Linked DNA regions of Saccharomyces cerevisiae S288C. The gene in region 4 interacts genetically with the main gene of each other region. Each region holds a gene or a part of one and is shown on either strand. Other genes may lie near its edges.

Region 1 (5,651 bases), on a different chromosome or scaffold from region 4:
GAAATCATCTGCACGTATGCTATATCGAAACCAAAAAGAATATTGCAGACGTAATGACCAAACCTCTTCCGATAAAAACATTCAAACTATTAACAAACAAATGGATTCATTAGATCTATTACATTATGGGTGGTATGTTGGAATAAAAATCCACTATCGTCTATCAACTAATAGTTATATTATCAATATATTATCATATACGGTGTTAAGATGATGACATAAGTTATGAGAAGCTGTCATCGATGTTAGAGGAAGCTGAAACGCAAGGATTGATAATGTAATAGGATCAATGAATATAAACATATAAAACGGAATGAGGAATAATCGTAATATTAGTATGTAGAAATATAGATTCCATTTTGAGGATTCCTATATCCTCGAGGAGAACTTCTAGTATATTCTGTATACCTAATATTATAGCCTTTATCAACAATGGAATCCCAACAATTATCTAATTACCCACATATTTCTCAAATCTCCTATATTACGATCTATTCTTTAGTCTAAATGTTACCAATCGTTATCCTTTTTTATCATCAATCCGTGCGTTTCAGTTGCTTTTAAATTTGATAACGCATTCTTATCATTTATGTCATTTTATTACATCATATATGATAATATTCCGTCACCTTGAATACTCATCAAGAAACGATAAGTTGTTGTAATTTAACAGTAACTCTGCATATAATTCAACAGGTAAAAACTAACTTTTATATCCTTGAACTTCTTCATTTTTGTGTCTTTCATTGAAAGTATAATTTTCCTTTTTTTTTTTTGGTTTTCAATACATATAATGATGGGTGACATTTTTTGTGTCATTTAGATTAAAAGAAATTTTAAGAAAAATTGACGTATTTAATTTTGATCCGCAGTAAACGCTATAAATTCTTTTTAATATAAATGACAGCTTTTTATACATATAGACCCTTTGAAGAATATTCCAAACTAGAAAGGTTGATCAGAAATGAGTTATAGTGTCAACACGTTTACAGATTACGTTTTATTGTTTGGATCATCTAGTTTAGTAGGAAAAGGTATTTTAGAGAACCTGTTGGACATAAATTTATATATTAAAAATGTTTCGGACCTACAAGGCAAGCTTGATAGCTTAAGTGAAATAAAGGGAAATGTCGTTCTCAATAAACATGTCTTTTGTGTTAATAGAAGGTGCATCAATGAGGAGAAATCATTTATGAAGACCATTGATTATATAAATATGAGATCAGTTACTTGGCAAGGTGGCAGATATTACTTGAGAAGCAGGAAAGAAAAAGACACTGAAAAAGTACCGTCTAGTCCTAATACTTTTTGTTATGATAATTTTGAAGAAGGATTTATTAAAAATACGCCTGAAGAGAGGGGAAAAGATGGTTATTCTTTTGTTTATAATCAGAAACAGTTCAGTTACACACTACATTATGCATGCGGAAAGGAAAAAGGTATTGAGATCATTTGTAATTTTACTGTAACGCAATTGATCATCCCCAGATCTGAAACTTGGCCAAAATTGCTTCCACGGATATTCTCAGGAACACAAAAGCTGGAAAAGTTTGACATTGACAACAAAAATTACGTTCCCGGTAGAAGTTTGCCTAGTCTGTGTGATATTAGCACTATGGTGTGCTCTTTGGGCTCCACCTCAGCTAGAGTGCGGAGAACTCAGGTACCAAGTTCCTTTGCTGACTATTACTTACCTTTTAATTTAGCACAAGAATTCACGAATACAACTAACAAAAGGTTGGTGGTTACAACTGCCTTTAATAATGATTTTCTTAGTAAAACTTTCGAGTATTTTAGAATAAAAGCTAAATTAGAAAATGACTTGGATGAAGCTTTGCCAAATAAGCTAAAGGAGCTAGTTATTTTGAGGCCAGGTCCGATGTGTGGACAGCACGGAAATCCTATAAACGTTGAATTGGGTAAAGAAAACTCCACTTTCTTGGAAAAAATTTTTTATTATCCTCACTATCTTTTAGTTTATAAAAAGAAATATATCAGTGAGGCCAGAAGGATTGGCTTAAGAACAAAGTTAAGCGAAATAATTGCTTCCAGTATATATAGGATGCCAGGATCTGCATTATTAGGATACGCTGTCCCAGTTTCAAAGGTTTCTTATGTTGCCTCTTTGATGGCGATTGAAAGGAAAAGTAAAGAGGCGGGACCTAAGCTGGAAGTAATTAGCAGTTATCAAATTGATATGATTGTGTGAACAGTCAGTCTTTTCTTTTGATAGATGCGAAGTTATTAAATAAATAGTAGCCTAATACATAAAAGAACCACTATATCATGGATTCGATACCTGGGCCGTCTTAAATTTTTATCGCATTGAATATGCAAACTTTATGTATTGTTTTACTAATCGCCAGTAATGGCCGACCAATTCTATGATAGATCTTCCCTAAGTTTATAATGATGGTAAGAAAACGCGCATATTTCAAAACTGAAGAAAAAACAAACAAAAGCCATATGGATAATGAGGGGAAAATGTGATTTCTTTACTTGAGCAATTCTTTCAAACTATCAGTAACGCTCCTGGCAATGAGTAGAATCGATGATTTACAGCAGGACATTGAATCTTTACTCAGTGAAAGTATGTGATTTTGAGGCTGTAACAATTTTCTTTCTTTTAAAAAAATGATTAAGTTGAACACTAACATAGTAGAATCTTCACAGTCAATTCATTAGAAGAAAGTCGTGAGAAGCTCAAAGCGAAGATAAAAGATAAAAGAAAAAATGAGGAGAGCGCTAATCCTATAGTACAAGAATTTGAAGATCTATTCGATCAATTCCCACAGTTGAATAATTTTTTATTTAATGAGCATCCAGAATTGGAAGAGACAGATGACAAGGACATATCAAGGGCGCAAGCGGATATACCAGCAACGCCAATACCGTATGAACCAAAGAAAAGAGCTAAGCTGGAGAATGAGGAAATTTTACCAGAACAAGAATGGGTTTTAAAGACCCAGCCAATGGTTCAGCATCAAATGTTTGATCCTGGGGTGGCAGATTTATTGGATACAGACATTCTAACGTCACCTTCAAAAAGAAAGCGAAAACTAAAAATAGACGATATTAGTACAAGTGATAGAAGTGAGTTGGAAGATTATATTGTCCTGGAAAATGTTTATAGAATGTTTGGTATAACATTTTTCCCTCTTGTGGACCCTATTGACCTTAAGATAAAAGATGCTAGCGGTGAAATATTTGTTGATAGAGAAATGCTGGGAATACGACTGGAAGTCTTCAGCGAACGGACATCCCAATTTGAAAAACCTCACTATGTATTGTTGAAAAAGAGGATCAAATCGAATAGTTGGTTCCTGTTCAAGCATACAATCCCGAGTTTCATTGATGTCCAAGGTATATTTGATGACACCAATGGGGGACTAGTGATATCTCATGATGACGCCTATTTATTTGCTAAAAGAGTCTTCCTGCAACTTGTGGAAGTACAGAAAAGACGACAGATTTTTAAGGACTTAGAAGCTAAGAAGATAATCCACGACTTAGATTTAGATTTAGAATCTTCAATGGTTTCGTTTTTTGTGAAGGATATTAAAGTCGAGTTGTTTGTAAAACAAAATGAAATAGTTTCATGTTCAATATTGGACGATATTCATGATTTTAGTCAAAATAATAAAAGTAAATGGGAAATTGCATTGCTCGGTTCTTTGGATGATTTGGAATTAAAATTAAACCATTCTTTCGCGACAATATTCAAGTGAATGTTAACAAAAATATACTTTATAGAAAGAGGATAGAGCTAATTTTCTCTGTTTATCATAGATATAAGTAATTGTGTAGTATCCCAATTTTGGGTAGAATGTGGTATATGAAAACAGGGCATATGAAACCCATAAGGCAACCTAACACTTTTTCCAAGATAGTATGATAATAAATAGCGGTAACCCAGAGAATACATATCCAAATTACTAGGACAGCGCAAACAATGGCAAGGCAAGCTCGTACCCACTTATTCACAACCCAAAACATATCTTCAGCTTGAACAAATCTACTGAATAAGTGAAGTTCCATCCAAAGAATCATGCTTATACTCACAAGAAAGCAGAAGTGTCCACTAATGTCAAACCCACCATCCCATTTCCCATTTTCTAGACGGCACTTTTCAGCTGATGTCGTTTTACTACCAGAACTGCATTCTCCCCCTGTCCAAATGAAAACATGATCGATAAATTGGAAATTCAAAAACAATAATAGATATTTTAGAACGAACTTGCAAGCATATTGAGTGATCATAATACTGATTATTCTATTTTTGAGCAGAGGCCAATGGTTAGTATATGTTAAATAGGAAGAGCTAGTTTCGGTACTTGATATTGGTAAAGGCAATATATCCATTCTTGCTAGATAGTGGAAGTATATTTGCAGAAAAGCCAAACTAAAGAATAAAAATGGCCACAGTTGGTTCGCTTTGTATGCAAAAATAACATTGAAAATATTGGACGATTTCAATAGAGCGCATGTCTCTTTTTGATGGTTTAATGTTTCTGAAGATACTACTATTGATAATAATGCGCCTACAAAAACTTGAAAGGGGTAAATGAGATACGCCTTCCTTGACCAATAATTGAGCTGACGTATCATAATCTTTTTCAATTTTTAGTCGTTCAGTGGTTTTAATACAATGCCCTATTTCTATTGTGTTTTAACATTGTGATATTTTGAATTTTTTTTTTTTTTTTGCAGATTGTTTTTCATATTAATCAAATTGGGTGCCACTTGTAAGTCAATAAATGAAACTAAGCCTTTCCATACTTTTTCCTAACGCGCTTTGAAGAATTTGTTTTCCTATATATATTTGTATAAAGTACATATCAAAAACAACTGAGCGAAGCAGGCACACAAGGGAAATCAGTTAATGTCATTCTGCAGTTTGAACTTATCCCAAGCAATACTTAAAGTACTGAAAATATTCTCTGCAATCATCTTATTTTCCAGGGACAAGGACTCTGGTATCTTATCAGGATGTGTCTTGGCTACAGCTTTCATGTATGTAATTTTGACCCTCTTAGGCATAACCAAATCTTGCATAGAGACATCCTTCCAATTGCACCATGTTAGTAAGCTGGATAAATTTGCTAACAGATGACGAATGTCATCGTCTTTGCCATCCTTCCAGGAGCTAATTTTCTCAAATACTTTATCATATAGCGCCAGTTTAGCGTTTTCTAGCTCCCGTTTTTTTATTTCTGAAGTGCTATCAACAGAAATTGGAGAATTTGAAGAAGAAGCGGTTAAGTTCTGTTTTTTTGTTGCAGGCGAGGTTGTCGTTGTCTTCTTCTTAACGGGCATGGATTTTTTAACAGGGGGAGGATTAATAAAGTCTTGGCATCTTCTTTTTCCCTGCATGATTTTATCATCAAAAAAATTCTTCTTAATCAGCTCTTGGTATGTTTCTAGTGCTTTTTTGAAACTTTCTAAATGTTCAAAAGACTCAGCACGCCTAATCATAATCTTTGGCCAGATGTCGTTAAATGATCTTTCAGGGTCACTATTTGAGATTTTATTCTTCCACTTAGCTTTGCTTGATGGGAATAATTCCAAAGCCATGCTGGAGTTTTCTATGGACTTAGAGTACTCACCGATTTTCAGTTGCGAGGCAATAATGTTTGATAATGCAATGATCC
Region 2 (8,200 bases), on a different chromosome or scaffold from region 4:
AGTTGGTTGATATTGATGATGTGGCATTTAGTAGTCCAACTAGGGGTATTCCAAGAACCAGCGCGACAAGCAAGGGATCAAATGCACAACTTCTCTCTAATTATGGAGATGAAAATAACCAGTCTCAAGATTCTGTTTGGGATGAGGGCAGAGATAATCCTATACTCTTGGAAGATGAAGACCCTTGAAAGCACTCGCACGCATAGTTTTATATTTTTTATTCTTTTCCTCTTTATTTTTATTTTTTTAACATTCTCGCATAATAATAGTAACAGCAATAAAATAACTAGTAATATACATACTCACATAAATAGGCATATTTTTTATTTTGTTCTTTCGTATTCAGAATGGTAAATTTTTCTAATGAAATGTTTTACAAAAATTTTTTTTCTATAATTCTAACAATAAGAAATAAAACAGTGGAAAAACATATAACTTAATGTAGATATATATATGTAAATATGCTAGCATTCATTTTAAATGTAAGGAAGAAAACGCCTTTAACTTTCATCTGGTAAATTTTCTAAAGCTCTACCCTTAGTGTAAACCTCGTCTTTTACATTCTGTACAGTACTTTTGAACCATTGAATGAACAGCACAGTTGCTTGGAAAAAGAACGTAAATGACTCTAATGCTATCAGTAGTCCGAAATAAATATCTTGCATCCTTGTCCATGTTGGGAATGATTCGTTAAGCGATAAAGTGAAACTCCTGGATCCATGGCTAATATCGATAATCTGCTTTGTAGAAACATCACGTAAAAATACTAAGGATAAAATAATAATCGGCAAGACGTAAATTACCATGTGCAGGAAACCTTGTTTAAACAGTTCCAAAGCCATTGTTTTCAAGAAGTTCAATTTACTAGTATTTCTGTTTCTGAAAAATAGTTTCAATGACTTATATCCGGTTCCGAAATTGACCATTGACGAAATGATCCAAACGACGAATAACAAACTCTCGTCATATTTAAACCATTTGGAATTACCAATAGTGTATGAAGAATTGCCAAACACTCTGATGGTGAGATAATTGTAACAGGCTAGTATACCATCGGTTAAGACGACCCACGAAACCATAGTTCTAATAACCGCAATCATGATAGCTATAAACACCATCAGGTTATACTTCACCAACATACTATCAAATATACTGTTAAAGATGGCCATGAAAATTCCTTGACCCTCTTCCACATTATTGATATTATTAACAGGGGCATTGTTGATATCTCTCTCTGGTATATCGTGTTCCACTTCCTCTACTTCGTTTTCGTCAACGGCATGTTCATCGAGAGTGTTTTGGCCTTCTGTAAAATGAAGAATATCCTTAGCAATCTTGGATAAACAAACAGATCCGACACAGACATAATAAATGTTCAAATAGGAGTAGCTAATGTCAGAGAGTTCCTTCCATGCAACATAGACCTTATTTCTTTCACCTAACAATAGCTTTACGACTGGAAGAAAGCCGAAACTACAAACAAAGTTTATTAAAGCTTGACTAATAAATGTAACACCAAGCATTAAAATGGAAGCAAATAACCAAACCAGGCCAAGCAATGTCATATAGCGTAAACGGAAATCTGGAGGGACGTAAACGATATAATATTGATCATATTCCGTGTTTTGTTCGTCTAAATAACCAAATTCACCAGCAGCACGTTTGTTTCTCTCTTTAATTCTTTCCAAATCTAATGGTTTCAACAGCTTATCATCCTTTGTAACGGGGACAAACATTGTTTGTACATAATTTCTGGATACTATATCAGAAGAAGGAACACGCATTAAAACGCCATCGGGGACAAAATAAGCATGAACGTCACGAACTTGCCCAAACAATTCTTCTGCTTGTTCTAGAGTCTTTGGTTTAGTGAAAAGTTCTTGGTTTGACCATTCTGCATTCTTGGCAGCAATGTACTTGTAAAACAAATTGCGGTAAACAATATGGCCTCTCTCTGTTGGGGTATCTTTACCTAAGATAAAGGATGATAAACGTAATTTTCTTGAACATAACTTAAAAATTGTTTTCCAATACCTTTCCAATAAGGGTTTAACGTAAGAGCTAGACTCCAGGATCCTCTTCGTAAAATATAAAGTTAGCAAAATTGTATTGAACTTCCATGAAATAATTGATGTTGGTTTATAAGCTTCAGGAACGGATAATAAGTTCGATTTGAGCATGAATGGGAAAAAAATTCTAGTATGGAAGCCAAAACCTAAGACAATAAAAATCGCATAAATAAACATGGATAAGCAAAGCCTTGATAATTGAATACTCATCGGATGAATTAAACTATCATGCAAGATCTTAATATTAGGATCTTCTGGAGATCTGATAAAGAATAGAACACCTGGTCTAATGATATTTTTCCTAATCATTCCGATATATTTGGCAAACCAATACATGTAGAGAGTACCAATCGTCCAGTATACGAAAAGGGAAAATGGAGGCCATATTGCGCATATTGAAGGAACCCAAAGCATCCGACTATTGGATGCCAGGATTGGGCAAAATAATGAGAAATCTAGCATTACACCAGCTAGAATGGGGAATCCAGCCAATTCGATGAAAAATAAAGTGAACACCTTGAAAGTGCATTTGAGTGCAAATAAAATCTGGAAAATCAGCCTTCTAGTAGGGTTGCTCATTCCGTTCTCACGGCCATAACCCCTCGAGACAAGATTGGATGAAGCACAAACGATACTGACTGAGGTTAGATACGTCGTTAAAGCAGGTAAAGCTCTGATGAAAATTGAGTGCTTCATGGTGTTTTCAGTGTAGCCGTTGTAAAGATAAATGATGTCATGAATTAAGTGGTCTGAAATCCAACTCATCGCGACATCTACTTTAGGGACCAGTTTCGTCAGCCCATTGTAAGCTATATGAGCGCCAGACAAGTAGTAAAGATGGCACAACCCACGCAAAATAACCTTAAATATACCAAAATAAATTTTCAACAAACCGAACCCAATAAAAGTTGGAAACAAATAGGAAATTGCCAGGTATATTGCGGTGAAAACTACGGCAATTATGAAATAAGCAATGACATTCAACAATTTCAATTTGAGATTTATCACTAGAGGGCCTTGTCCTTGATCGTCTGGGTTAGCCTGTGCTGGTGGCACACCAACAGCTGCGCCAAAGTCTTGTTCGTCTTGATCGACATTTCCAGCTCTGTTTTGGGCAGGTGGTGGGATGAAAACCGGAGCGTTGGGCCTGTTTATTGCGTTCTGTTGAGCAGCGATTAGGTCATCAAATTCATTTTGCGCACGACGATTTGCCCACATGTCAATCGGATTGGGCTCTATATGATCACGGTAATCTGCCTCTTCTTCTGGTTGCTGCTGTTGCTGTTGCCCCTCTGCTTCTTCATCTTCTTCGTTGTCACTTGAAGACCCCGGTAAAATTCGTGACGAATCATCACCTGATGGTAAACTATTGTCAGAGTCGTTGTTCTCGTGCTCTTCCGTAGCCTCATCATGATCTAATTCGTCTACGTGGCGAAGGTTTTCAAAATTCCGATGGTCATTAGGATCCTGAGGTGGAACGTTATCGTTTCTGGGATTAATAACATTATTATTATTATCTGCTGCTGCGGCTGGCATGTTCAGTCTATCATGACCTTGCTCTTGACGATTTTCGTCATGAGCTCTCATTTCCCTCGCTAAATATTCAACCATTCTATCATCCATCATGGGGAATCTTTCCTTCAAACGTGATTTCAAGTCCTTGGGAGATAATCTTGGACCTATCTTGTGGAAAACCATTTTACTGAAAACATCCTCTCTTACTATCATATCGTATTGAAAGTACAATGCTATATGTAGTATCACTATCATAATAAATTGTAAAGACGTAAACGAATGGTTTTGTAAAAGTTGGTAAAAAATTGCTCTCGTGGTTAATTCTGGAGTTGCTGACTGATCATAACCATAAATCAAACTCTTTAGGAAATCACCAGGATAAGGGGATGATCCATCTAGCATCATGGTGTATAATTTTCCAAACATGTTCCATACCAAAGGAACACCGATAATATATAGTACAGCGGCCAAACCAATCGTTAAAGCCAAACGAGCTTTTTCGAAAAATGTCAAGATGCTCTTGGATAGTAGTAAAGAAAAAGGTATCTTTTCGGGCATGTTTTCCGCATATATCGTTTTGAATTGAATGGGATAGTGACAGATGTCACATTTAACATCCGCGCCTGGTTTTGAAATGTCTATATTTTTTGAAGCTACCCATTCCAACAGACAGGATTCATGCATGTATTTAATTGAGCCCCTGCATTTACAAGGATGGAAAAGAGGATTGTCCTCAGTAGCTTCTCCACGACAAATACGGCAGGTGGCGCCGGATGGCGCATCATCATTGAAAGTGGCGGTATCTGTTTCCTCGTTTGCCACCTTATGCAGTTCATCTCTTAACCTGGAGACATTAACGTCAGAATCAACATCCATGACTTTCACACTTCTAGTCTCTTTGATTCAATTAGTGGTACTCTTGGCTAAAAAAACAGTTTTTGAAATCAGTAACAAAGAACTATTCTTAACGTAATCTTATGGCTTCATAGATCGGTCATAATCATCTTTTCAATGTCCTCAATCGATGCGTTTTCAACCAGTTTTCCGTCTCTAATGATTTAATTTTTCTATTGAATTGAAAATGGTAAAAAGATAGCCCTGTAGGGGGCTCGAACCCCTAACCTTATGATTAAGAGTCATACGCGCTACCGATTGCGCCAACAAGGCTATTTCGTTGGAAAAACTACTTATTTTAGGAAGTAATAGCACATTTAAGATGCTTGTTGGAATGAAACTTTAAAATATCATCTGTTTAGTACTATTCATGTTACTAATTAAGATATGGGTGAATTTTGAGATAATTGTTGGGGGTTCCATTGTTGATAAAGGCTTATAATATTATGTATACGGAATATACTAGAAGTTCTCCTCGAGGATCTAGGAATCCTCATAATGGAATCTATATTTCTATATACTAATATTACGATTATTCCTCATTCCGTTTTATATGTTTCATTCTCCTATTACATTATCAATTTTTGTATTTCAGCTTCCTCTAACCTCGATGACAGCTTCTCATAATTTACGCCATCCTCTTACACCGCATGTGATGCTATTACTACTAAATAGATAACATTAGAATTTCATTCCAACAGCTTTAGTCTGTTTTAATAAACGCAACAGCACCATAATGTTATTAATTTTAATAAAGCCAAATTATGGCCTGCTGATTTCTTTTCATTGGTAAAAGTTCTATCACCCGTTCCCCATTAGTATGATAACCGATAAATAAACTCTATTACCTGGTTTCTTCGTTCCAGGAACGTTTATACCCTGACTACACATTTCTTTTGAAAAATAGGCCAATTGAACAATTAAGTTAGAAGCGGTTAGAAAAAGGTATAATAGGAAAAAATGCATCCAATTTTTACAGTTGAACCACTTGGGGGATTTTATTCTCGTATTGTAGCGGGAGCATTTTATCTTCGTACATCTTGGAAGCTGTAGATTAATCTTATTCCTATATGCTCCTTCAATCCACACAGCAAACCCCCAAATGGAAACGATCACTGAGTATGTTATAAACCAGCTTACGCTTATACTATTATCAAAATTCAAAAGATTGAACGGGGAAAATGGTAGAAATGAATATTGAAGCATTTTCGCAATGAAAATTAACCGCATTGTTTTTATAGTAATTCTGATGGCTAACGGCGGTAATACAGCATCCTTACGAAGAGCGGGAATAGTTCATTTGCCCTCTTTGATGGTTTGCATAACTGCGTTGTTGATTGTCTTAGGAATGGAAATATTTAACAAATATACCTATAATGAAAAAAGGGTCCTTCTTTTTAATTATTATTGGCAGCGAAAAAGTTGTCCCAGCTTCTACTTTTTTTCCCGTTAAAAAAGGAAGCGGCGGAAGCTGATCTACTCTCTAATAATAGACTACTCACTCGCATCTTGGTAACGAGTCCCTTTAAGATCTTGGTACATAAAGTTTGCTGCAGCAAAAAGGGCTTATTTGCGCATTCATGATATTAAACAACACCCTGTTTAGCGTGTTAATGATCCTTGTTTTATGCCAGTATATTCTGTATACCTTATAATAGAGTCAACAGTTAAATCCTAATCATTACCTCAGGACTTACCTATTTCTGAATATCATGGTCCACCATTCTACCTCAGTGAATTGATTGAACCGCACCATTGGAATTGTCATGGTGAGCCAGCGTGCTACAACTTCATGATTTTACGAGCTGAAAAAACACGCCCTTAGGCATAAAAACTCAATGGAAATCTGTAAAACAAAATAAATTTCGCTTTTTAACTTGGCCTAATGGGAATACTTTAACAATTGAACCTGTCACTAAATCAGAGGAAGTACATGCCTAATTACTCAAAGCTGTATTTAACTAATTTACCTATACTATCGCCAGGCATTCAAGGATGAAGACATGCGTCAATGCAAATAGTGACGGCTGCTGCATTAAAGAGGTGCTGCGTGGTGTAGAAAAGGCAATAACATGGACGATGCAAGGTTATTCAGACGCGTTGTTTGTATGCCATTTCCAATGATAATGTTGGTTGCGTTATATAGAAATGTGTTAGGAAGAGATTCTACAGTTGATTGCAGCTTTGACGTTATACTTACACCTTGGATAATGGCCAGTATGTTTTCCAAACGTATGGTGAATTGGTCTAATCCACGTCAAGCTGTTTTAAAAGTATGCAGCGCAGCCGTGACCTCCCGGATAGTTGCCAATTGGTTGTTTACGATGAACATATTATATACCAGTGGTGAAAAGGGTTTTTACTCGCTAGCAACAGCTGTGGTAATTAAAACGGTCACTGATGGGTTTACGGTGATACGGGTTTTCTCTATTCACCTGAACGAGTCAGTATATAGCAAGCCATTACCATAACATTGGGTAACGTCGCACGCAACACAGCTGCGGGTGTGTGTGGTGATTGGTTAGTCAATTGGTCATTTGGGCTGGTAATAGGGCATGTTCCCCTTACAGCTTGTACTGTCTCATTGGGGTTTGCTCTTATTGCTGGAATAATAAATGGAAAGGTTAACGACGACACAAATGGTTTTCGACGACCAAAACAAATTAGCAAATGGCAACCTTTTGTATTAGGGCTAATTAATGTAAGCGATGTTACCATTTTGTCTATTTCTGGCGGTGGACTGGTAGCTTCTTCATGTGGAGGTGCAATAGGCTATGCTACTGTCATTAAAACTGTTGCTACCACAAATGCACGTTTCGCGATTACTGAGGTGATCAAGGAAATAGTTATTCGTTATTCATCACAATTAAATGCAGAAAAAGTTTGTGAAGAATAAAAAACTCGAGCCGGGTGGTAAATTGTTTTAGTACGGTTAGCATCGGTTTAGTACCTGTACCAATATGTGTCACTTTTGTTATTTCTGCAGGCGATAATACTTATAATAAACGCATACATGATATCATAACTGCCTTTATACGGCACCTTACAACTAGCATGGGCGTTCAAGTGGTGGAGAACTATTACCTGTTCCTGAAATAACAGAATGAATCATCAATAAGGGCTTGTCTGTACCTCAGGATGATTTGAACAAGTTCCACTTACGCTAACATGAGGATGAATATCGTACTTATACTATGTAAACTGGAATAGAAATATTCCGAACGGTTATCCATTAGAGTGTTAGCCCTCAAACCGAGACTCTCGATAATATTGAATAGAAGATTTTACCACTAAATTTAGTGTGTATTTATGTATCTTAATAACAAACTATCCAACGAAGACGCAAAAGATACTATCCGCCCCGTAATCCTTTTGAAACCACTCAAGCTTATGGTTCACGTTATAGAACACAGGAGACGCTTGCATTATTGGTGATTCTAATATAGCTTTCTATTCCTCTATGAAAGGCGTCTGTGTTGGTGTAAATAGAAGAGGTGCCTGGTCACCTGACGCCTTATTTTGTGCAGTTACGATGTTCGAGTAGATTCGCTATCGAATTTATGCTCAAAATCTAGCTAATCCTCTTATTAGATCTTGATATGTATATATGTATGAAATTATAAGTTCTAGCTCTAGTTTTCAGTATCTTATTTATTTTTCTTTTTTTACAGTGTTAGAGGCCCATTCCCTGCAAATTTTTCTCTTCATATGAACGTCAACAA
Region 3 (6,426 bases), on a different chromosome or scaffold from region 4:
TTTTTATACCTGTTAAATGAAAATCGAAAAAAAAGAAAAAGAAAAAAGTTTTTCAGCACTTCTCTACGGGTAATCCTCGTATTTGAAGGTTTAGGGCTATTCTTGAAATTTTTCACTAAAATTTTCCAACTGAGAAAAAAAAAAGTGTATTACGGTTTTGATGAGATGAGATGAGATGTAATTATCATCCTCTATTGCCATGAAGAGAGATCTATTAAAAAGAAACGTCAAAGAATATGGTATTGCTTATATCAGAAATTAAAGATATTGCCAAGAGGCTGACTGCTGCGGGTGACAGAAAGCAGTACAACTCCATTATCAAGTTAATCAATGAACTAGTGATTCCAGAAAATGTTACTCAATTGGAAGAAGATGAGACAGAAAAAAATTTGAGATTTCTGGTTATGTCGCTATTCCAGATATTTAGAAAGCTGTTTTCCCGCGGCGACTTGACCCTTCCTTCGTCCAAAAAGAGCACATTAGAGAAGGAACAGTTTGTTAATTGGTGTAGAAAGGTGTATGAAGCGTTCAAGACGAAGCTGTTAGCTATCATTTCGGACATACCTTTCGAAACATCACTTGGGTTAGATTCGCTTGATGTCTATCTTCAACTTGCAGAGCTGGAATCAACTCATTTTGCATCTGAAAAGGGCGCACCATTTTTCCCCAATAAAACATTCAGAAAGTTAATCATCGCCCTATGGTCCTCGAACATGGGTGAAATAGAGGATGTCAAAAGCTCGGGTGCGTCTGAAAATTTAATCATAGTAGAATTCACGGAAAAATATTATACGAAATTTGCAGATATTCAATACTACTTTCAATCAGAATTTAACCAACTATTAGAGGATCCAGCCTACCAGGACTTGCTTTTGAAAAACGTTGGTAAATGGTTAGCTTTAGTAAATCATGACAAACATTGCTCTAGTGTTGATGCAGATTTAGAGATCTTTGTACCAAATCCCCCACAAGCCATAGAGAACGAGTCCAAATTCAAGTCCAATTTCGAGAAAAATTGGTTATCCCTTTTAAACGGCCAATTGTCTTTACAGCAGTATAAGTCTATTCTGTTAATTTTGCATAAGAGAATAATACCTCATTTCCACACTCCAACTAAACTAATGGATTTCCTTACTGATTCCTACAATTTGCAAAGCTCTAATAAAAACGCCGGTGTTGTTCCGATCTTGGCTCTGAATGGCCTTTTTGAATTGATGAAAAGATTCAACTTGGAATATCCAAATTTTTATATGAAACTTTATCAAATTATAAATCCAGACTTAATGCATGTTAAATACAGAGCAAGATTTTTCAGGTTAATGGACGTATTTTTGTCATCAACACATTTATCCGCCCATTTAGTAGCATCTTTCATCAAAAAGCTAGCCAGACTCACCCTAGAATCACCACCCTCTGCTATTGTCACCGTGATTCCCTTCATCTATAATTTAATCAGGAAACATCCGAATTGTATGATTATGCTGCACAACCCAGCCTTCATTTCCAACCCATTCCAGACACCTGACCAAGTGGCGAACTTGAAAACTCTGAAAGAAAACTATGTAGATCCCTTCGATGTTCATGAATCGGACCCTGAGTTAACTCATGCACTGGATTCCTCTCTGTGGGAGCTGGCGTCATTGATGGAACATTATCATCCTAATGTAGCCACGTTGGCGAAGATATTTGCTCAACCATTTAAGAAGCTAAGTTATAACATGGAAGATTTCTTAGACTGGAACTATGATTCTTTGCTCAATGCAGAATCTTCAAGAAAGTTGAAGACACTTCCTACGTTAGAATTTGAGGCTTTCACAAACGTTTTTGATAATGAAGACGGCGATAGCGAAGCGTCATCCCAAGGTAACGTCTACTTGCCTGGGGTAGCATGGTGAAAGCGAAGATGAACAACGAAGTTTTAAAAGTGTGTATATATACATTTATATCAACAGAGTCATCGATTTCCCTTGTTTGAGATGTAAAAAAAAAAAAAAATAGAAAATAGTAAGTCCCTGTTATCAATTTTGCCTAGGAAAAAAACCTGGGTCAAAAATAAATGGTCTCTAGCGGGATCGAACCGCTGATCCCCGCGTTATTAGCACGGTGCCTTAACCAACTGGGCCAAGAGACCATTCTATTGTTGAAGATTGTTTAATTTAGATAAACTTTCATAATGTTGAGAATTGCTTATTGCGATATATAAAGTTGAACCAAAGATCAATTTCTTTTTATGTATTGTAGAGAATTACAATTTGAAAAAGAGCTAAGGGAAATTGCTATATTCTAAAAGAAGTGCACAAGTACATTACCTTGAATTTTTATATTTATTCATGATATATTAATATTAATATATCGATGGTGAAGGACACCACACCTGTATTTCTTTGATTGAAAACAATTTTGTAACATTGGCTGCAAAAGTTTTTGCAATTGATATGAAACTATATGATAATATAGAATGCAAACAAAATTCAATTGCAAGGAGGAGGGAAGATATAGGGCCCCTTTCTCGCTTGACATAGACTAAATAATATACAGTTTTTATTTCTTTATTTTTTTTCTTCTTTTGACATGAACATGTTGATTATTCATTGTCGCTTCCTGCGGCAGCTTTAACTAAATCCAAAAATTTTTCTTTGGAAACTTCAGTGATCAATTCTTTCTTTTCTTCTTTATTCTTAATTTCGCTTAAATTTTCGGATACTTCCTTTTCTGTCTTGACTTGAGTTGCTAAAATGGCGTTAAATAATTTCACGGCACCTTTTTGAGCTATCTTTCTGAGCGCTGTCTCCTTCTCAAGGACTTTTCTAATATTTTCTGACCTGTCTTCTCCGGAAGCAATTGGAATAATATCCGTCTTTCTGGCTTTACCTAATAACTTTTTTTTTTCTGCCAACAATGCTTTTTTGGCCTTGTATTCTAGCTTTTCTGACTCACTTTGCTTCAGCACCTTTTTGTTTCTAGCCATGATGGGGTCCTTCCTGTCGTATGCTTTCAGATGTGATGATAAAATAGCATTTACTGCAGCAGAAAATCCAGTAGAACCATCATCATGTTTGCTGTTTTTCGATTTTTTCTTTCTTGGGAAGTCGTCGTCCTCTTCTTCTTCATCATCATCTTCTTCAGCATCACTTTGTTCGTTATCTATAATTTTAGATGATTCATCGCTAGAGCTATTCTGCTCGTCTTCTTCGGCTTCATCACCTTCCATTATTGTATCTTTTTCCGGCTCATTACTTAACTCTTGGTTGCCACTATTCCTTTTTTCACGCCCAAATTCTGCATTCTTTCTGGTTCTTTTCTTATCCTTAGTGTCTACTCTGTGCTTGGAGCCCATGATCAATTATGTACTGATTTTCCTTCGGCTTCTCTATCGCTTTATTCATAGCATCTGTTTATTACCTTTCCTTATATCTTATGGGCATCGAATCCTAGATTTTTTTCTTTCAAAATTTTCCAATAAGAGGGTAATGGAGATACACCAAAATGAATCTCAAACAAAATCAAAACAAACACTGTTTACAATTTGATGCGCCTCGAATCAAAATATGATGATGAGTATTACAGCTAAAAAAATTATCGAATATTATATAAGCATTAAAGCTATCAATTTTTCCGCTCTTTGTGTTTCTTATTATTCTATTTGAATATACCAGAACAACTATCCGGAGTCTTTGTTTAAAAAAGGTAGATTTTGAAATAAAGGACTTAGAGAAATTCTGGCAACTATTAAACTATGGAATCACTTCCACGTACTCCCACAAAAGGCAGATCTACGCAGCATCTCTCGACACCATCGCCGAAGAATGATATTTTAGCTATGAATGGCCACAAAAGAAGAAATACAACAACTCCACCGCCTAAGCACACTCTTCTGAAGCCGCAACGTACGGATATTCATAGACACTCATTAGCTAGTCAGAGTCGCATATCCATGTCACCTAATCGCGAGCTTTTAAAGAATTATAAAGGTACAGCAAATTTGATTTATGGAAACCAGAAAAGCAACTCCGGTGTAACTTCCTTTTATAAAGAAAATGTTAATGAACTCAATAGAACACAAGCAATCTTATTTGAGAAAAAGGCAACACTAGATTTACTCAAAGATGAACTAACAGAAACGAAAGAGAAAATCAATGCCGTTAATCTCAAATTTGAAACCCTTCGTGAAGAAAAGATAAAAATTGAACAGCAACTGAATTTGAAAAACAATGAACTTATCTCGATTAAAGAAGAATTTTTGTCAAAGAAGCAGTTCATGAATGAAGGACATGAAATACATTTAAAGCAGCTAGCGGCATCTAATAAAAAAGAGCTGAAACAAATGGAAAATGAATACAAAACAAAAATTGAGAAATTGAAATTTATGAAGATTAAACAGTTTGAAAATGAAAGAGCGTCGCTTTTAGATAAAATAGAAGAGGTAAGAAATAAAATCACCATGAACCCTTCCACTTTACAGGAAATGTTGAACGATGTTGAACAAAAGCATATGCTTGAAAAAGAAGAATGGCTTACAGAGTACCAATCGCAGTGGAAAAAGGATATAGAGCTGAATAATAAACATATGCAAGAAATCGAAAGCATAAAAAAGGAAATCGAAAATACATTAAAACCTGAGTTGGCAGAAAAAAAGAAGCTCTTAACAGAAAAGCGTAACGCGTATGAAGCTATCAAAGTAAAAGTTAAAGAAAAGGAAGAGGAAACTACAAGGCTGAGAGATGAGGTGGCATTAAAACAGAAAACTAATTTAGAAACTTTGGAAAAGATCAAAGAACTTGAGGAATATATAAAAGACACTGAACTGGGTATGAAGGAGTTGAATGAAATTCTGATTAAAGAGGAAACGGTTAGACGCACATTGCATAATGAGTTACAAGAGTTAAGAGGAAATATACGAGTTTATTGTAGGATTCGTCCAGCTCTAAAAAATTTGGAAAATTCTGATACTAGCCTTATTAATGTTAATGAATTTGATGACAATAGTGGTGTTCAATCTATGGAAGTGACGAAAATACAAAACACAGCGCAAGTGCATGAATTCAAATTTGATAAAATATTTGATCAACAGGATACAAATGTGGATGTTTTTAAAGAAGTTGGTCAGTTAGTGCAAAGTTCATTAGATGGATATAATGTTTGTATCTTCGCATACGGACAAACAGGATCTGGGAAAACTTTCACGATGTTAAATCCAGGTGATGGTATCATTCCGTCCACAATATCTCATATATTTAACTGGATCAATAAATTAAAGACAAAAGGATGGGATTATAAAGTTAACTGCGAATTCATTGAGATCTACAACGAGAACATCGTAGACTTATTGAGAAGTGATAATAATAATAAAGAAGACACAAGCATTGGCTTAAAGCACGAAATACGTCATGATCAGGAAACTAAGACTACCACGATAACGAATGTTACGAGTTGCAAGCTTGAGTCGGAAGAAATGGTGGAAATAATCCTGAAAAAAGCAAATAAATTAAGATCCACCGCTAGCACAGCATCAAATGAGCATTCCTCCCGTTCACACAGTATTTTCATAATTCATTTGTCTGGATCAAATGCAAAAACTGGAGCACACTCGTATGGCACACTAAATCTTGTTGATTTGGCCGGTTCCGAAAGAATAAATGTCTCTCAAGTTGTAGGGGATAGATTAAGAGAAACACAAAATATAAATAAATCTTTAAGTTGCTTAGGTGACGTTATTCATGCTTTAGGTCAGCCTGATAGTACCAAAAGACATATACCGTTCAGGAACTCAAAACTGACATACCTACTGCAATATTCACTCACTGGGGATTCGAAAACATTAATGTTTGTAAACATTTCACCAAGCTCCTCTCATATTAATGAGACTCTCAATTCGTTAAGATTTGCGTCTAAAGTGAATTCTACCAGATTGGTTAGTAGAAAATGAGGTCAAGGCCTTTTCTGGTCTTTTTCACTCCTTTGACAAATGACAGAGACTGTCCATACATTCATCACATGTAACTATATTATATATGAAACTCATTTTAATGCGCACAGATAAAAAGCAAAGTAAGTAATGAATATTTGTTATGTAAAAATGACCTCATACATGCTAGTATTTACACGAATTTAATTGCTTAAATTTCAATCATCCTTACCCTTTGGTTTACCCTCTGGAGGCAGAAACTTTTGCATCCTCCTTATTGCCCAATTTTCGCCAATGACTTTAACATCTGGGTCCGATTTACCTTCCGTGGTGTTGAACCGCTTCCACCATGAGGGGGATTTGAACCTAGGGTCTTCGCGTGGTAATTTGCGAACTTCATTTCTAATTTCAGCAACATGGGCTCTCAGTTCAGCGGCTAATCTGCTTCTTAAATCTTGCGCCTCTTTACCATATTTCAATTCGTCAGAGAGGTCGTTAGGATTTTTGGGATCATAGTATTT
Region 4 (9,926 bases):
AATAAAAAAATAATAAATAAGACGAGTGCCACTTATATAGCTTGAGAGAGAGAGAGAGCGTTTGCACGTATATGTGTGACATAATCAGCGTTTACTCATCATCGTCGTCTCCATCGCCTGCAGCTATTCGAGCCTTGACATCTTTCCATAATTTTCCTTTGTTGTGATTCTCGTACCATGAAGTAATAGCAGTATCAAATACAGTTTGGAAAACAAAGGCACCTGCAAAGATAGTACCAACAAAAACAGCGTTTCGTTTGAAAAAGGTTTTATATAGTGATGAAAAAGACTACTCATAATTTATGCATTGTTAGTAACCTGAATGGAAACGCATGGAACATATTCATAGAGCTGCTGTCACCAATTTCATAAGCTTCGCTAAGTCGTTGCGCTCATCGGTGGGAAACTAATTTCCAAAGCCCATGATACTTGGCTAAGGAAGATTCCACGGATAACATTTTTAGCCTGAAATGTGAAGCAGCACACACACACACCAACATACCATTTTAGTCCGTATTGCTATTGTTGCTTTACGAAATTGCGAAGGATATGAAAATCAACCTTCAACGATTATTGACTATCCGTGACAGGACATTAAATACAACTGCTAAGCTAAAGTTTGAGAGGGGATGTCATTAGGGAAAGGCCCAAGGATTGAGCAGCTTTTAGGTCCTAGAATTCTTTCGGCATTGACTTCCCCGCGTTTGATTGGGTCGTGTATAATGATACATATTAACAACTGGGGAGTTCAAAAGTTGCCTTCGCTAGATAAGGAAACTTATGATAGTCACTTCGAAGTATTTGTAATTAGGTTGGTATTACTTCTTTGTTAATAATAAATAAAAGTCAATCGACGCGCAAATGTTTAATAATGTATAAGTTTTTATATACAAATATGTCAACTATAAAACATAGTAGAGGGCTTGAATCTACCAAATCTCTCGCTCATCAGAGTCATCATTATCATCAGAGTCATCCTCATCGAGGTTTCTTGGATTTGTATTTCTTATGATAGTAGCTCCATCAAATTGAGGTCCTAAGAACTGCAATATTGGTGGGGGATTCTGAGGTGCATCATCATCGCCATTTCCCTGCGGTTGTAGAGTGTTCCTAAAGTTTTCGAAGAATTGGAAAAAATCACGTACTCCGCCACCAGCAATACCTTCTGCGCCAACCCCAAATAAGTTGGCGGCCTGTCCAGTTTCATCATCAACATCCATTTCGTCATTTCCCTCCGTAAAAAACCCGTCTTCTCCCTCTTCCATATCTTCATCATCTTCATCTGTTGGAGGTATTCTTCTTGGCCTTGGTTCTCTATTAAATGCAAACAAGAAACCATTGGAAAGTATAGTCACTCGAAATTCGTCACCCATTACTCTACTAATATAACCTGGAATTTCATTGTTAATCCATAATCTGTTTAAGTGCTCATATCTTTTCAAATTCAAGGTGGTTAAATCACCTCTTCTCATGGCATTTCTACCAACTTCACCATGCGAATTTAGATATGGTGCAGATATAAAAATATTAGAAGGAGGCTGTGTCAAATGGAGACAAACTTCACTTGAATTGGGCATCAGGAAGGCGCCAAATGGTTTAAAACAATTTTTATTCAAATGCTTGGTCATTTCATGGCGGTCCGCTCTTAAATGCACTTTGACACCACATGTCAAACATATTTTGAAATCTAATCGATTATCCGCATTCTTCATATGCTGAGAACGCTCTTCACGTAGCTTGATTTCCTTAGATTGGGTAACGTAAGTATTCAAATATTTTGATAAATCTATCAGTTTTATAATCCCACAATATTCATATGGGATGTTCTCCAAATATGGATGCGATACAATGGACTCCTGCGTTGTCAAAAGATCGACTAAGGATTCTTTTTCAGTAATCATTTTCAATGCCTTATTGACAAACTCGGCGGTATCTTCGAATTCCAGTTCTTCTTCAACCTCATGACCGTTGATGACCAGCGTTTCATTTTCAGAATCTTTCACTAATTCGTGTAGCACTTTGATAAAGACTAAGCACCTTCTTATCGTAGGAAGAAGACTCTTCAACAGGAAGGTATAAGCTAGATCATAAATAATACTTTCGGAGTCCAATCCCTCCATTCGTACATCAGATATGGTCCTTAGGGCGAAGAGCATCTGCTCACTTACTTTAAGAACATCCCCAATTTTGGACGCTTTAGCATACAATTTGGTAACCTGTTCTGCATCAGAAAGACCCTGAAGAAAATCTCTTAGAAACTGTCTAGAGAACGTTGTTAACGCCTCTGTAACAGTCTGACGAAGTGAAACTGGAGAAAATAAAGCGCTTCGAACAATATATTGGAAGAGTTGATTTTGGTTCCAAACAGTATCGGGCTGCTGCGGGTACGGTTCAAACTCCATACTTGGCTTGCCTATGACAAAGGTGAACAGCATAATGCAGACTAATATATTTTTTAAAGTTTTGTATTTCTGTTCCCTGCTTCTGAAAAATGAAATACTGTATGGCTTTTCTAACCTAGAAGCAATTTCTAACATTGAAATGGTATTTGCCCAGTGCACACTTAATATTAAAGAAACGTCCTTATGCGAAAAGTTGGCCCGCTTTCTTACCGCTTTATCAAAACCTTGACACTGAGATATCATCAACGAAAATATAGAGTTTATTGTACGATAATTTTCCTCAGTAAAAGGTTTGAAGAGCCTTGACAATGTATCCAAAGAAAGTTCTGATTCCAAAAACATATCTAGCGACAAACCAGTATTTGCCTTTGAGGTTTGACAAAGAGGTAAAGTACAATTCGAAAATGTTTGGCATAAAGGACATATAAACGCGTTTGATGAAAATCTCTTTTTTTGAACGTACCTCTTGAAGCAGTTATGATGAATGTGATGATTACAGGATACAAATACTTTCCTAGATCCACAACTACCGTTTTCCTTCAAAGCCTCTAAAACATCATCGTCAATATAAGCTTGTTTTTCATCATCGTTGTAGAAACCATCCCACATGGGCATAAATTCATTTGGGTTAAAAATATTACCAGGTCTAAATATCGGGGAATGATCATGGTACGCAGGTATCACAAAAAAATCGGTCGAACTGGAATCTTGACATAGTGCGCAGGTAAAATCCTCCGATTCATATACTTTTTCACCGACCATGTCAACATCGTTATCCTGCTCATCAAATTCAGACTCATGTTCTTTCATGAATTTCGTTTGTTGATTGTTAAACTTGGCTAGAAGCCTTGCTTGATGTTTCTTGGCCAATCTTCTTTTTCGTTCCTTCTCTGTCTCTTGTAAGTTAACTCCTTGGCGTAGTTTCTTATCCTTATAATCATTAACGTATTGGTTGCCAAAACTGGCAATTAATGACTCAAAAAGTTCATTTGGTTTTTTCATTATCATCTTCTCTAACAAATAGTCGGCTTTACGGACAATACTCTCGGAAAATACGTCTGATTTAGCATTGGCTATGCTCAAGAGTAAATTACATATAGGCTTTGACAAATAAGCTTCTGGTATAGAGTCCTTACCATTTATCAATTCATCATCCCTGAATATACCATGAACTAAATGTAGTAGCTCATTCAGGAAAGTGCTATCCTCCATATCCAGACATACCTGGAGTAGTTTATAGACCACTTTGGCAAATACCGTATTCCTTGTAAAAGCACCCAGATTGAGAGCGTCTTTATCTAACTGTTTTATTGAGACTTGGGGTATTAGTACAACTTTTGCTATTTCATCCTTATCCTTAGCCAAATGTGATTTAATAATAGTTGCACTACTTTCGAATTCGTTTTCCAAATTCAGCAACTTTAACGGATCAACCTTTGCATACAAGCTTGCTTTTAATTTAAAAACACCATTGTCGGCCAAGCCCTTAGGCTCAACGAAAACAGAGACTTCTTCAAGTGCTTCGTCAAACTCGGTAGTATCTTCAGTTAGGTAGTCAGGAACTGATCTTAGTAGCTTTGAATACGAAAGGGGTTTCATGTAAAGGTTATAAATGATTGAATTTTTGATTTGATCCATTCTTCTATCCTTTAGAGAAGAGAAAGTTTTAAAATATTGTCTTTCGGTCAATATTTGATAAATAAAGGCAATGAATTGTTGAATGATGAATGAAATTTTATCCTCATAGACAGTGTGTTGATAGTCAACTTCACCTGTAAACCAGTCTAGTAATTCCCATCTATCAAGAATATTGTATATTATTCTCGGAATGTCATCACGTTCCCAAAGGATAGCTAACTGATTCAAATGTATATCTCTGGAATAGGAACCTAATTCGGGATTGTTTTTATAATACGATGCTTGATGTAACACAGACATACCATTTCTTACCCAAAACCCGACGTCAATTTGAGAGCACAATACAACTGATCTCAAAGAGAAATCCGATATTTTCAGAAAATCTGAACAGTCTTCTAACGCTTCGTATGCATCCTTTAAAGACACTTTTTCGATAAGGAATGAAAGCATTGTTTGTAAAGGATTCATAAATGCAACTCTTTCGTGGCTTACGCTAAACTTAATGACTTCATGAGAATCATATATTAACTTGTATGTTAGTGATCTATTGCCTAGAAATGAACTGATAATTCTTATTGCATTTAAAAAAAGCTTTGAATCAATGGAATCTTTTGATTTTTCGCTAACTTTTTCCGCTGTTTGAATAATACTGTAAATGGAGGTGGTATATTCTAAATAGGAGATGAAATTTTGATCTTCGTGAAGAACATGTTCACCTTCTTTACGCTTTATCTTCCACGCTCCATTGAAGAGCTTGCAAAGAGTTAATAGAGATATTATTTCCTTAGGTCTCAATGGAATATTAGGATCATGTACCTTACTCAATAAAGTTTCAACTGTATACAACCCTTGCTTGAATGATATACTGTAACTCTTTGTTAAATTGCTTTTTTGAACTCTCTGCCAGATCAATACACCACCTTCCACCTTACAAAACTCCTTAAAAATGTCTATAATTGACCACACAATATCCAAAAAACTTTGGTTTTCGAAAATATTTTTGGCATTCGTAGGGCATGTAAATAACTGTACGACACACTCTCTTATAGCTGTTAGCTGAGGTTCTCTATCCATATATGCCACAGATCTTGTGATGTGGTTGAATATTTCGACTACCTGTTGACAGAAAATGGGCTTGTATAAATTTGAAGAGGCCAACGTTGGAATGATCACATTCTGAATATCTTTTCTCAGTCTTTTCCAATATCTGTTATCAAAATAAAGAATATGTTGTAATCTTGTATTAGAATATGTTCTTGATGTTGGAGTTTCTACATCATTTATCAATGGTGAAAGTGAATGGGTGCTTGATTCGGGTAGAATTTTGTGATGACCCAAAGGAATTTGATTGCCATCTGCAAGGATAGATAAATCGATGTATCTGTAGGGATCATTCTTATCGAACTTGTTGCTGAAATATTTCTCCACCACCGGTGTCATATCACGACATTCTGTTGCATTTAAGTATTCTGAACACAGGGTTTTACCCATCATGTTCCTAAAAGTGGTTTGGAAGGAGGAGTTTGGTATGTTTAAACAGTGTGTAATCCAAAGGATGATATACTTGCATGTTTCTTGATGAAGATATTCTGACCACGATGTTAAAGTGGCACTTAATCCATTCGTTTGAACAGCAAAAAAACCACCTAAGACAGATGATAAATCTTGTGAACATTTCAACATTGCTCGACCTTCTCCGTCAATCCTGGATGTTAATAGATCAATGTGTACGTTATCTGGAACCCCCTGTCTCAAGGCAGTCGTAGCCTGCGAATAGTTATGATATTCATCGTTATATATTATTACCGTGTAATTTTCGGGATCGATTTTCGCAAGCGATGGAGATGCCTCAGGGCTATTAGAGGGGCTCGTCTTTGCTGTTGTTGTTCCGTCAAACATATAATCGTTTTCATATTTTAAATCGTTTAAAAACTGCGCTCTTTCATACATTTTTCCCTGTTGTGTCATCTCTCTTAATTTGATAGTGATATCTTTCTGTATTGTGGGTAGAGGTTCGATATTCTGGTTAAAAACATCGATAAAATAGTCAAACACTTCTGCAAGAACCAACTCCACTAATGCTATATTCACTGAATCATTCCATACATCTTCTTCCTTTATGTCGGCATTTGTGGCGGGATCTTCCGATATATCGTTTTCTTGTTCTTCAGCTTTGCAATGAAGTGGAGAATTCCAAGCTTCTTCATCTCCACAGTCACAAATTCCACTAGTGAATTCAGTACATATATCGGTACAAACATGATGATTCACATGATCTTTTGGATTAAAACAATGAATACAAAGCACACAAGTATCATCGCAACCACACTCATGACACCTATACAAGGGTTCCCCTATTTTGAATTTCCTCCCACAATTTCTTCCGGTATGTTTATGGACGTCTCCTATTCTGGATTCATCTATCTTATAAAACGGAATAGTTTGTTGAGATGTTATCTTATCAATATCCACAGCATCTTCTAAACTGTCAGGAAAAACAGTAAGCTCTGGGTTAGATAATTTTTGTTTTGGATGAGCATTGAATAAAGTAGGTAAGTTCTCTCCGCTGTTAGAAATGACAAAGTATAGATATCTGTAAATGAACTCTTTAAGGGCTCTGCTCATGTCAGCCCTTTCAGTAGGACCTCTCGTATACCTAAAATAGGGGAGGTTATGAATAGACCTCAGTGTTCTCCTAATGTGACCTTGTAAAGATCCTAAATCATCATCAGCAACGGACATATTGGAATGTTCTATGTAATTTGTGTGACCTGTAAAGATTAGGGACTTCAGTGAGAGAAAATAGTCAACTAATAGGATACAGTAAACTTCAACTGCCTTTGTCCGAAGATGCGAAGAAAAAGGAAGAAAGGTGGTAAAAAAACTTAATAATGTATCGCAATAAGAAGGAGGGGCAAAGAAAGCAGGATGCTACTATTAAAATAGTTTGCTTTTGTTAAATGCCCAGTTTCACGCTATAAGTATGCAAAATTAAAGAATAAAAAGCCCAATGAGGAATAAAGCAGTTTTATTGAGGTGAGACTAAAAGGGTCTAGCAATGAAAACAATATATGTTTCCTTTTTAAAATGTACCAAAGTCTTTATACTCGCTCGTTGATGTACTGGGCGTTATCAAAACTGTTTGCCACTGGGTAGTTGCCTTATGGTCACTATCTGCAAGTTAAATTCAATCGCAAGAGGAAGAGAAAATAAACCGTCGCATCACTTTTCTACACTTACCCGGTTATTAATTTTATAACGTTTATATGATATATCTTTTCTTATTTATTATATTATGAATCGTGAAAACGGATTAAGCTATGCTTACAATTTGGTTTCCTCTAGTTTCGTGGCAATCTCGTTGGTCTTAGTAGCGCCTGGGTACTTAGTACCCTTATTCTTTGGTTTCTTAGCCTTTTTCGACTTTTGTGGTGTGGCAACTGGATAACCCTTTTCGGAGGCCTCTTGAAATTCCTTGTTGTTGGCAAATTCTTGTCTGATTGGCTCCAATAGCTCGTTGATAGCGTCAGCAACACCAATTTTTAGATCAGGTGGGGACAATTTTTCTTCTTTAAAAGCCAATTTCATTTCTTCGAAGGATTTGTAGGTAATTGGACCACCGAACTTTTCTGGTCTATCAATGAAGAATTCGAAGTGATTTGTACCAAACTTCAATTCTTGGATTGGTGCAATGACATATTGGACAAATGACAGTAAACCATTCTCTTCGACGTTACCGGGGCTACAAAATGCACTATTGATCTTTTTCTTAACTTGCTTTGGTTCTTCCAAAAGGTCGATTTTTGAATTCGGATCAGAGGCAGACATTTTACCACCTTGAGCCAAACCTGGAACCATAGGGTTCATTAAATGTGCTCTTTTCTTGTAGCCCAAACTTGGTAAATTTTCTTCCGCTAAGACAAAAATTTTTCTCTGGTCGACACCACCAAATTGGCAATCAACATCTAAGAATTGTTCGTCCAACGCTTGCATTAAAGGATAGATAAGCCCACTCAATAATGGATTGGCGACTTGCTTGACAACATCAGCGCCTGCCCTTTTAGCATCGTTTTGTGAAACAATGTTGGATAATCTAAAGATATCCATGGTATAGTCTGGAGTTAGCTGGTAAGAAGAGCCAACAACAAATTTTAGCTTTTCAATTGGAACATTGATGCTTCTCAAGATAGCTTTGATGGTCAATTCATAGTATTTGGCCCTATAGTTCACCACTTCCAATGGCGCCTTCATGTTGTCCAAAAAGGCGTGCAAGTCTGCTAAAAGAACAGTCACTTCACAACCTGCTTTCAAGAAATCAGCAAGCTTGGTCATAGGAACAAAATAACCACAATGAGGTCTTCCAGTGGGCGCGGTACCCCAGTATAATTTCAAATGTCTCTTTTGTACTTCGAGAACATCTTTGATGATTTGTGGGTTCAAGACTTCTTGCAAGTTCTTGGTAATGAGACCGAACGCCTCATTAGGGTCAACCGTGGCAGCAGAGGACATGTTATCGTCAATTAGAGTATGCGGTTATGGATGCTAATCTCTTTTTGACAATGACTAATTTGTATTCTGAAGAAAGAACAATTAATTTTCATAAAATTTTTCTACTTTGTAAATGTTCGAGTTCCGTTCTTAGTGATGCTCGAATAAGGACCTTCTCGCCTCCATGATAAAATAAAAATTATGATAGTAAGAAGTATGGATGGTTCGAAAGGTTGAAGAATAGCTAGGGAGGCCTATTCGAGTAAGCGCAAGGATGTCCAGACGCAATCCACCAGGCAGTAGAAACGGGGGAGGTCCGACGAATGCCTCTCCCTTCATTAAAAGAGACAGAATGAGAAGAAATTTCCTGAGGATGAGAATGGGTCAAAACGGCAGCAATTCTAGTTCCCCAGGCGTACCAAATGGAGACAACAGCAGGGGATCTCTTGTCAAAAAGGATGATCCTGAGTATGCTGAAGAGAGAGAGAAAATGCTTTTGCAAATCGGTGTCGAGGCCGATGCTGGCAGGAGCAATGTTAAAGTAAAGGACGAAGATCCTAATGAATATAATGAATTTCCCTTAAGAGCTATTCCAAAGGAGGATTTAGAAAACATGAGGACACATCTTTTGAAGTTTCAGAGTAAAAAAAAGATAAACCCTGTAACAGACTTCCATCTTCCCGTAAGACTGCATAGGAAGGATACGAGAAACTTGCAGTTTCAGCTAACAAGAGCAGAAATTGTTCAAAGGCAAAAAGAAATTTCTGAGTATAAAAAAAAAGCAGAGCAAGAAAGAAGTACTCCTAACTCGGGTGGTATGAATAAATCAGGAACGGTCTCGCTCAATAATACTGTTAAAGATGGGTCTCAGACACCTACTGTTGATTCAGTTACTAAAGACAACACGGCCAACGGTGTGAACTCCTCCATTCCTACTGTAACTGGCTCTTCTGTCCCTCCTGCTAGTCCTACTACTGTATCCGCCGTTGAAAGTAATGGACTGTCAAATGGTTCAACTAGTGCAGCTAACGGTTTGGATGGCAATGCATCTACAGCGAATCTAGCTAACGGAAGGCCGTTAGTGACAAAACTAGAGGATGCAGGCCCAGCTGAAGACCCTACTAAAGTTGGAATGGTCAAGTACGACGGAAAAGAAGTGACTAACGAACCGGAATTTGAAGAAGGAACTATGGATCCACTAGCAGATGTGGCACCAGATGGAGGCGGTAGGGCCAAACGAGGAAATTTGAGAAGGAAAACTCGTCAATTAAAAGTTCTTGATGAGAACGCCAAAAAGCTGAGATTTGAGGAATTTTATCCATGGGTTATGGAAGATTTTGATGGGTACAATACATGGGTGGGTTCTTATGAAGCAGGTAACTCAGATTCTTATGTCTT

The links.
Region 1: mutations in UBR1 (region 4) and MCM21 together harm fitness more than expected from each alone (negative genetic interaction), as found in Saccharomyces cerevisiae (4 studies listed by BioGRID, with this or other methods).
Region 2: of UBR1 (region 4) and SSM4, changing one enhances a phenotype caused by changing the other (phenotypic enhancement), as found in Saccharomyces cerevisiae (6 studies listed by BioGRID, with this or other methods).
Region 3: mutations in UBR1 (region 4) and KAR3 together harm fitness more than expected from each alone (negative genetic interaction), as found in Saccharomyces cerevisiae (3 studies listed by BioGRID).

The regions. Positions count from the first base shown.
Region 1 is NC_001136.10:1,101,220-1,106,870, forward strand, and holds MCM21 (Mcm21p), read left to right. Parts: upstream 1-2,538; coding exon 2,539-2,590; intron 2,591-2,673; coding exon 2,674-3,728; downstream 3,729-5,651. Other genes in the region: HIM1 (Him1p), read left to right, coding at 965-2,209; YFT2 (Yft2p), read right to left, coding at 3,784-4,608; auxilin-like protein SWA2, read right to left, coding at 4,876-5,651. UniProt on the Saccharomyces cerevisiae protein: Component of the kinetochore, a multiprotein complex that assembles on centromeric DNA and attaches chromosomes to spindle microtubules, mediating chromosome segregation and sister chromatid segregation during meiosis and mitosis.
Region 2 is NC_001141.2:295,550-303,749, forward strand, and holds SSM4 (E3 ubiquitin-protein ligase SSM4), read right to left. Parts: upstream 4,461-8,200; coding exon 501-4,460; downstream 1-500. Other genes in the region: SUMO protease ULP2, read left to right, coding at 1-188; EMA17 (Ema17p), read right to left, coding at 5,280-5,708; EMC5 (Emc5p), read right to left, coding at 8,130-8,200. UniProt on the Saccharomyces cerevisiae protein: E3 ubiquitin-protein ligase which accepts ubiquitin specifically from endoplasmic reticulum-associated UBC6 and UBC7 E2 ligases, and transfers it to substrates promoting their degradation.
Region 3 is NC_001148.4:815,234-821,659, reverse strand, and holds KAR3 (Kar3p), read left to right. Parts: upstream 1-3,736; coding exon 3,737-5,926; downstream 5,927-6,426. Other genes in the region: ribosome biosynthesis protein NOC4, read left to right, coding at 237-1,895; rRNA-processing protein RRP15, read right to left, coding at 2,585-3,337; TAZ1 (lysophosphatidylcholine acyltransferase), read right to left, coding at 6,124-6,426. UniProt on the Saccharomyces cerevisiae protein: Minus end-directed microtubule (MT) motor involved in spindle midzone assembly, poleward transport of newly captured kinetochores along the lateral side of MTs, karyogamy (nuclear fusion) during mating, and with an essential function in meiosis I.
Region 4 is NC_001139.9:858,972-868,897, forward strand, and holds UBR1 (E3 ubiquitin-protein ligase UBR1), read right to left. Parts: upstream 6,783-9,926; coding exon 930-6,782; downstream 1-929. Other genes in the region: QCR9 (ubiquinol--cytochrome-c reductase subunit 9), read right to left, coding at 92-289, 503-505; tyrosine--tRNA ligase TYS1, read right to left, coding at 7,365-8,549; transcription factor IIF subunit TFG1, read left to right, coding at 8,803-9,926. UniProt on the Saccharomyces cerevisiae protein: Ubiquitin ligase protein which is a component of the N-end rule pathway. Recognizes and binds to proteins bearing specific N-terminal residues that are destabilizing according to the N-end rule, leading to their ubiquitination and subsequent degradation.